Cricetulus griseus: one gene and its partner. The protein of the gene in region 1 purifies or fractionates together with the protein of each later gene. This does not show direct contact. Links are inferred from orthologs where the notes say so. Each region holds a gene or a part of one and is shown on either strand. Other genes may lie near its edges.

What was found. Proteins that work in one complex are often made in the same cells at the same time.
Region 2: the proteins of Smad2 (region 1) and Skil purify together in Homo sapiens (affinity purification with western blotting; 8 studies listed by BioGRID and IntAct, with this or other methods). This does not show direct contact. The link is inferred for Cricetulus griseus from reciprocal best matches to the Homo sapiens genes SMAD2 and SKIL.

What each region holds. Positions count from the first base shown.
Region 1 is NC_048595.1:163,543,680-163,547,759, forward strand, and holds part of Smad2 (mothers against decapentaplegic homolog 2), read right to left. Parts: intron 4,079-4,080; coding exon 4,025-4,078; intron 3,227-4,024; coding exon 3,014-3,226; intron 1,196-3,013; coding exon 1,058-1,195; intron 857-1,057; coding exon 712-856; intron 1-711. UniProt on the Homo sapiens protein: Receptor-regulated SMAD (R-SMAD) that is an intracellular signal transducer and transcriptional modulator activated by TGF-beta (transforming growth factor) and activin type 1 receptor kinases.
Region 2 is NW_023276806.1:119,740,588-119,745,435, reverse strand, and holds the start of Skil (ski-like protein), read right to left. Parts: upstream 3,262-4,848; 5' UTR 3,126-3,261; intron 1,562-3,125; 5' UTR 909-1,561; coding exon 1-908. UniProt on the Homo sapiens protein: May have regulatory role in cell division or differentiation in response to extracellular signals.

The DNA of each region.
Region 1 (4,080 bases):
GGCACTTGTACTCACACAAGCACAGACACATACATACACATAATAAAAAACATGGGGGAGGCACTATGTATATATAACTCACAATGAGACCAAAGGTGAGAGGGGTCACTTACTCAGCTGATCTCAACTGTCCAATCTTATTTTTATTCTACTTCTAATCAAACTGCTACTCTGCTATTAGAATTAGTTTCCTACACTGCCCTTTCCTATCTCCTGAAGTCTATATGCATCTTCTAGAACCTAAATCATATGTTATTCCAATCAGAAAGCTTTCTTTGGATACAAAGTAAAGACAGCTGATTTATAAAATACCCTAACCTTTCAAATATACCTTTTCATAATACTTAACATTCTACATTATGTTAAAATGCATGTTTACCCACAATTTAATAATATCTTCTATAATACCAACACAGCAATTTTCAAGTTTCTTATCTTCAGGCCTCCAACTTTCATAACTAAGGGTCTCATGTAGCCTAGCCTGGCTACAAACACATACTAGCACCAGGTTTATATGTTTCTAAAGATTGAATCCAGCACCTCATGTATGATACACAAAGTATTCTACCAACTGAGCTACACCATTAACCCTCTTTCTTTTACTATTTTACATAAATATCTGTTGAAAAGAGAGATAAATGAATTACAGAAGATGCAAAAGATACAAATAATCACAGTGAAGAAACTAGAAACTGAGAATGGGACTCATACCGGTATTCTGCTCCCCACCCTTTCACAAAACTCATTCTTATGGTGCACATTCGAGTTAGCTGATAAACGGCTTCAAAACCCTGATTAACAGACTGAGCCAGAAGAGCAGCAAATTCTTGGTTGTTGAAGATCTTCAGGTTGCAGCCTAGATTGGTAAACAGTAAAACATAAAAAGTGTCCTTATTAGAAAATAATTTTAAAGGGAGTCTATATTTTAGATGGAGCATGCGCATCAGCTCCTAATTCCTAAAATCATTACCAACTAGAAAAGTTAATGAAGCAAGCTGGTGACAGGGCTATTTTCACTGGTGATATAACAGGCTTATTTACATGGGTGAATCCATACCTGGTGGAATTTTACACACTGTTGCAGGGTGCCAGCCGTATCTCTGGTTACAATTGGGGCTCTGCACAAAGATTGCACTATCACTTAGGCACTCGGCAAAAACTTCCCCACCTATGTAATACAAGCGCACTCCCCTTCCTAAAACAAAACACACATTGTTAGTTTTAGAACACTCTCCTCTTCAGTGTTCCTGAGAATCATCTAGAAGGAACTCTAAGCAGATGCTAAGGCAGTTGTATGACATCTTCTCACAGCCATGCTTTCCTGAACTGTAACTCAGCATTTTTTAAAGAATTTTTAACAATAATTTGATCTTTTCAAAGTAACACTCATGAAAAATATTTCAACAAATATAGAGAAAGTACACATTAGCAAGACAGCTTCACTCAAATTACCTGGTGTTTTAGAAATTCACTTAAAATTGAGTTAATTTTGAAAAAAATAGTGTCTGGGCAAATTTTCCTTAAAGAGCTTACCAGAGTAAGAAAAGACTCAAAAATATCTCATCCGCCAGCTATGCAAACATCTGCTTTGTGGTGCAATCGCATACTAGGTTAAAGAGTGGTCAGGCAGGACTCAAGTGGCAGCAGATCAGCTGTTATGCAGCAGAGGGACTAACCAGTAGAACAGCCAGCAAGCTGCATGCAGAGGGCAAATGCAGCTGCTGTTAAGACTCAGAAACTGTGCAACATCAAACATGCACTTAGCTATCAAGAAAGGATAAGGTTCTAACTGGAGGATATACCCAGAGGGTGGTGTGCCTGTGTAGCAAGCCCTACATTAAACCCCTAGCACACTGGGGGGGGGGGGGGGGGGAAAATACAAATTTAGACTTTTCAGACTATTCGATAATCAAATCATTCAAAAGTTTAAAAAATGTAAAAAATAATCTAAAATTATAGTGAACTAAAAATTTTGTTGGGAGACATGAGTAGGGGCAGAGGAAACTACTACTTTTCTTTAAAATACAAAGGTCTAATTAAAACACAAAAACATAGAAAATAAAAACTAGTGCTACCTGGATGAAAGATGACCCAAAGTAACAACACTTGAAAGTACAGGTAAAGCCAACAACCCATTTCTATCTGTTATCATTTTACAGAATCAACATCAAGATCATCATTTTTCACAGGAGGAAATGGCTAATCCCCAACAGGCAGAAGAAAGCTGACGGTGAAGAAGCCATCAGACGGATTCTCAGTACCTGCACCTCACTGGTTAGACATGAACTACTAAGGTTCCCAGAAAATCTGGATAGATGTGGATTATAATCATGGAAACTTACTACATTAGACTGAAAACCTAAATAAAGTGTTTTAAAAACTTAAAACAACAAATCTATTAGTGTAAACAAGGTTTGTGAGAAATAATCATTTTCAAACATAAATCAGGAACAAGTGGGAATATTTCAGTTAGACAAGTTTCTTTACTGTCTGGATTCTCAGGTCTACATTTTATATCTTCACAACCCTAGGCCATGAAGCCCCCAGGATGCCCCACTTCCTGCTGTGGAGAAGCAGCAGGCAGCATTTCAGTATCACTGGAAAAGCAGTGCTGACCTCACACAGTGCCAAGATGCTCCAGAGGGCTGTCAGAAATCCTCCTTTATATTCTGAAGCCCCAGATTGTATTTTGAATTATACATAAAATCACTGGGAGGAGAGGGAAATGAAAAGCGATCACTACTAAACACTGCTTTTTTTTTTTTCCTAACTAAAAGAAGACTGAGCAAGCTAGTCACTTTAACACATATTTATCAAAGAACTTCTCACTATCATGAGTGCCAAATACAAACAAAAATCAAAGACAAAAGTTTGCAGATTAAGAATCACCAAGGCCCAATTAAAGGGATTCACAGAGATGAAGCTGGGCTTTTCCATATAAGCATTAGATCTAATACCACATATTGTCTACATTATGAGTAAATTACATTTTCCACATAAAGAAAAAACATACCTATATGCCTTCTTGTCATTTCTACAGTAGCATTTCGGTTGACATTGGAGAGCAAACCTAAGCAGAACCTCTCTGAGTTTGAAGGATCTGTAAAGCCGTCTACAGTAAGTGAGGGCTGTGATGCATGGAAGGTCTCTCCAACCCTCTGGTTTAGTTCATAATAAGCTATTGAACACCAAAATGCAGGTTCCGAGTAAGTAACTGGCTGCAAATCTGAAGTAAAGGAAGAAATGTATGAACAACTCAACATGAAATGAAGTGAACATCATGAACATACGCCATGCCAGCAGATAGGCAGCGGCTCAAGAAGTCACTGTGAACATCTATCTATTGGTTTAAACAGATTAGGCCAGATAACAAGTTTTAAAAATTTCCCCATCTCATAATTTGTGTTGGATTATTTCTTTTATTAGCTTTCATCCAGATCAAACCCAAAACAAAAAGACAAGAGCACATGGATTAGCCTGCTGTACTTAAGTGTATTCTTTAAATGTACCAAAAAGATAGTTTTGGATAGGGAAAAATATACAGCCGACTAAGTTGAAACCTACACTAAAAGATCTTATAGTGGGAGAACCAAAACACTCCCTGACATTGTCTACCCTCATACATGTAAGAAGCAGAGTGAAAGACAAGTGTTAGCGAAAACAGGTTTTGGTACTGATGTACAACTCACTAACAGAGCATCACATGTAATTAACTTCTGTTAATCTAATTTAGATGTATCATAAGGAAGAGTACACGAGGAAAAGACATGACAGTTTATAAGATACATCCTAAATAAACATCCATCAAAACCTTACAACTTCATAAACAACATAGTTTCAATGACTGTCTCATAAACTCCTGCCAATAGAAAGCAGTACCAACACATTGTATCAATTCTTCCTAAAGTCATTGATATAAACCATTTGAATAATTTTATTTATTTATTTTTTTGATACACACAAAAATTTCCAGAGAGAACTTTCCTTAATCTAGCGAAAACAGCAAGAGGTAACAGCAACTTACCCAAGCTGTGATTGACAGGCGAGAGAGTAGTAGGAGACAGCTCAGCTGGGGAGCCT
Region 2 (4,848 bases), on another chromosome or scaffold:
TGCATGACAAATGTCTGGGGTGCAAACATTCCACAGCACTCTAGACACTGGATACAGGGAGCATCAGGCTGGACATAAAACTGAGGTGCAAAGAGACCCTGACATTTGCCCAAGCATTCATGTTCTACTTCAAAGGCACTGCCAGTTTCCTTTAACTGGGCCAAAGAGTTCTTAGCAGGAAGTATGCTACCATTTTGAGGAAAAGTCCGAGGCCGCAGTAGAGCATTACAGAGTCTTTGCGCATCAGTCAATGTGATCAGCCCACAGGATGGGGCATTGAACGGAAGTATTCCTAGGACCTTTAAGATATGAAGCTGGTCTGAAGTACACCTTGAACAATATATGTATAGCTCATCACATACTGTGTTTATTTGCTGGAGTGAAAATTCTCGGAGAACAGAATTTAAGACTTGGGGCAAACAGAGTCTCTTTTCTCCTCCAACTTGAAAACAAGAAATAGACTCCCCTTCCAAAACAGTCTGTGTGAGCTCTGTGGAGCTATCAGAAGGAATGAGAAGAGGGCCAGGAAGAACCTGAGGAGATGGAAGAGGCAGGAACACAGTCGGCGACATGCTTTCTTGGGAGTATCGGGCAGAAAATGCTGCTGGCCCACCCAAAGAGCTCTGACTACTTAAATGGAATTGTGCCAGTGTGTGTTTCAGGCTGGGGTTTAAATTTAAAGTTTCGGGGATGGAAGTACAGTTTCGTTTAGCATGGTCTCTATCTGTCTCCACTGATACATCTCCATAGTCATCCAAATGTTCCTTCTTCACCTTGGTCAGCGTTTTTCCACTGGCATGCATGTCTGTCATCATTTTCTTCACGGGAGGGCTGCCATCATCCTCCATTCCATTCAGTTTTTTATTTGAACCCTGAACTAAGGAAAAATTGGACTGTAGGTTTTCCATGGCTACACTGGTGTTTTAAATAATTAAGTCTGCAATTGGCATGTTGTACTCAGTTTCTAATTTGAAGAGAAAGGGATAATGTATACAAATACTTATGGCTCCCTTAGAAATTTTTTTAGTTTGCAAAGATGAATTTTCTTTCTCGATAGATTTGTGCAACTTTTTTTTTTAGTTATACCTTAGGAGATAACCGAAAATACTACAAAACTTCTCATTTTGTATCTAACAATAAAGAATATAACAATAAGCAGACTTCTGAGGAAAGTCTTGTTTTCTTGAGTTCTTCAGATATTTGTATTAAAAAAAAAAGGCTAATTTCTGAATTCAAGATGAGCAAGGTTTGGTGTAATGGTAGAGTTTGGTGGTCTTGTCTTTTAAGCAAAGCATTGGAAAGTGTATGCCATTACTATATCCTAAAACCACACCCAAACAGGAGTTGCAATGATGCAACGGTTTAATTTTTGCCAAGGAAACCAAAGGGGGGGGCGCTAATCTTCACTGAAAATGGTGGTCTGCTGCTGTGTGTCCACAAACTGAAGACTTGTCTAAACCTCCAACACCAGTAAGAATCTGAACTTCTATAATCCAAAAAAAAAAAAAAAAAACTGCCCAGTTATCTTCAAGGATTACAGTTCATTCTTCTTTCAATTGACCTGGAGAAGAGAAAGGGTGGGGAGAGTTACAACTCAATATGCTCCAGAGGCCAAAGGGTCACTTTAAAACCAGTTTCTTAATCTTAAACTCAGTTCACTTTACCAAAGGTAACACTTGAGTGATTTCCTTCAATCAAACACGAGTTATCTAAAAGAAACTTCATTTAAATAGGAAGCAGCCCAGAAGATGGATAACAGGAACATTAAATAATATCCCTCCGAACAAGGAAGAGCACAAATTTAGAATACAAATAAATAAAACTCAGTACCAGAGGCTTTCTCAACTATGCCATTTTAATTAAAAAATTAGCTTTTATTTCATTTTAAAAAATATGTGGTTCCACCCTCCAAAAGAACCAGATACATGTTAATATACCTACCATATGTAACCAAGTTAGTCTCAAGTGGATTAATTCATCTAGTCAATATAAACTATTTCTGAAATTAAGGAAAAAAAATAAACTTTCCCTTTAAAAGGTTAGTGAATTTGCTTTAATGGAAGCCAAAAGCTGTAAGACTCCATGCCTGGAAATCTCCATCCTTGAGCAAGACTAATCCGGGACAAAAAAGCACAAGGCAGACAGACCTCACAAAGAATGCAAATGGAGGCAGAGTGGGGGAAAAAAGAAATCTTTTTCCACTCCCCTCGGGAGAAAATGCAACGAACGCCGATAAATAAAAACCTTTGCTTTCTAAACTCCCCGCGATTTACGTTTACACAAACCCAAAGGATGACCGCCGAAAGCCATCTAGCCGCCGTACTGTGACTTTCGCCACTCCAGGGACACCTCAGCCAAGGCGAGCCAAGGGAAAGGGCAGGAGGTATGACCTAGCCCGGGGGCGCACCACAGCCCTGCGCCCACGCAGACACCCACCCATCTTCAACCGAAGGGAGGTAGGACAGGAAAGCCGGGGACTCCGGACGTCTGGCGAGGTGAGAGGGGGCAGAAGGAAGTAGAGGGAGGAGTCCTCCCAACCCCCACCCGAGACTGGGATCACCCCAAGTGCCCTCCCCACATCGCCCCACTGCGGGGGCCGCCGATGGAAATCCCCACGCAGCCGGTCCGCGGGAAGTTCTCTGGGGTTACCTCGGCGCCCCAGGGCTGTGCCACCCACCCCCTTCACCTACCCCCGAGCCGTGGCACCCAGAGGGGCGCGGGCAGGCTGGGCGCCAAGCCCGGAAGCCCGCAAGCCCGAGTCGCCGGCCGCTCGGAGCTGGGGCCAGCCCGGGGCATCCCCGCGGAGCTCAGACGGCCGGGGGATGGCGGCGATGACCGGCGTCCAGGTCTCCCGGGTCTCGGCCGCTCGGGTCAAGTGCAGCGCCATCCCCTGCCAGCCGACCCGTCCCAGGACCCGCGAGGCCTGTACACCCGTGGGACCCCCGCCGCGCGCCCTGTGCCCGAGACCCCGCCCGGGACCCCACGCATCCCGGACGCCCCCACTCCGGCCCTCCGCACCCCGGGGAGGTCCAGGGGGTCTGTGGCCTCCCCATCACCCCCGCCGCCGCCTCAGCGTCCCCAGAGGCCGCACGCCCCTCTCGTCCCCTCGAGACCTGCGGCCGCACCTGTGCCCGCCGTCGCCGTCGCTCGCCCGCCGCCTTCGCTGTGCCTTCGCTGTGCCGGCGCCGCTCCGAACCCCACACACATCGCTACACACAGCCTCTGACGTCACCCGGCCCTCGGCCCGCCCACGTCACTGCGGAGACACGGCTTCCCGCAGACGCCGCCGCCGTCTCCGGCCGCCCGGGGGACAGCGAGGGCGGCGGAGGGGGGGGGGAGAGGAGGGAACGAAGCCAGCGGCGCCGCGCGGCCCCGCGCCAGCCAGTCCCTCGGGCGCGCGCGCCGTCTGGCCTATTGTGGCTCCTCCTCGCTGGCCGCGCGGTTCAGGCTGCGCGCTCGCGTCCCTCCAGCCCCGCCGGGGGCGCGCGCCCGGCGGCCTCAGCCGCGCACGCGCGTGCGTCTGTTTTCTCCCCCGCCCCCTCCCCCTACTCCCCGCTCCGGCGCGTGCTCCACGCTGCTGGCTCGGCGCGCCGTCTGGGCGGCTGGCGCACGGCGCTGTCTGCGGTGCCCGGCGCAGACAGGATGTTCCCTCGGCCCCACCCCCGCCGCCCTCCTTCCTTCCTCGAGTCGCCCAGCCGGCTGTCTGGGGCCGCCCCGCCACGCCCGCTGCCGTGTGGAGACGGGCCAGACCCGGGGGCGCCCCGGCCGCTGGGCCGCCGCGCGGCGGGGGAGGGGGCAGGGCGCGGCGGGCTGCACTGTGCGCGACCCCGGCAGCTGGCGCGCCCGATCAGGCTCGGCCACCCCCCCCTCCCCCGCGGCCGCAGCTGGCCGCCCGGCCCCGCCCCGGAGGTGGCCTGCGGGCGGCTCCCCGCCGCGACCCCTGGGGTGAGCCCGCCGCGCAGACGCCCCCGCCCGGAGGCGGCGACCCCCGCGCCGCTCCCCCTCCCCCCCCCACGGCCGCCGCGCAGACGTCGCGGGGCCCTCGCCCCTGTGGGGCCTCCTCCCGCCGCCGCCCTGCCAGCTGCCGGCCCTGAGCCCCGCCTGGCCGCGCTGGGGTGGCCTCGCCCGGCCGCCATCGTCAAGGGAGGCCGCCGTTTCCACCCCGCCGGGACAGACCTGGCTGCCCCAGCTGCTCTCGCCCTCCATAAGTGACCCGTTCTAATTCACTGAGCGCTTTCGTTTGGGGTTTTCAGGTTTTTCTTTTCTTTTTTTTTTTCAGAGACGGTAGGAGGTGGAGAAAGATAACCACTTTAGAGCTGTCGGCTGCCACCTCGGGCGGGCGGGCGGGTGGGTGGGGGGAGTTCCTAGCCAACGTACCCAGGAGAGAGTCAGTTCGAATATTCAAGTCTGTGGAGCTAGTCCGTCACATTTCGAAACAGCAAAGAAATCCCCTTTTCTCCACCCCACCGCAGGACCAGGAACTGAAATAGCGCAGACTTAGGGAACTTAAGCTTCGGCGGCCGCGCACCCCTCCTCTACTCCCCCTCCCCCCCTTTTTTTCTTTTCGCCTAGTTACTTATTTTACCGCTTCGGGGTTACTCATGTTTGGGTCCACATTTGCAGCTGTCCAATTAGGAGTACTTTTGTGCTCGAAGATTTTTCTCCTCTCTTCCCCCCACAGTAGGTCTAACAAAGCTCTTCACCGCCCCCGCCCCAGCTCCTGTCGGTCCCCATCTTCGTACTCCCAGGTCATGCCCCTCTCCCATCTCCTACCCTCCGCTCCTTGACTGCTTGCCTGTGTGAACATGAATAATTCCACAGCACTTCCCATCTGTTATTGCCATAGAG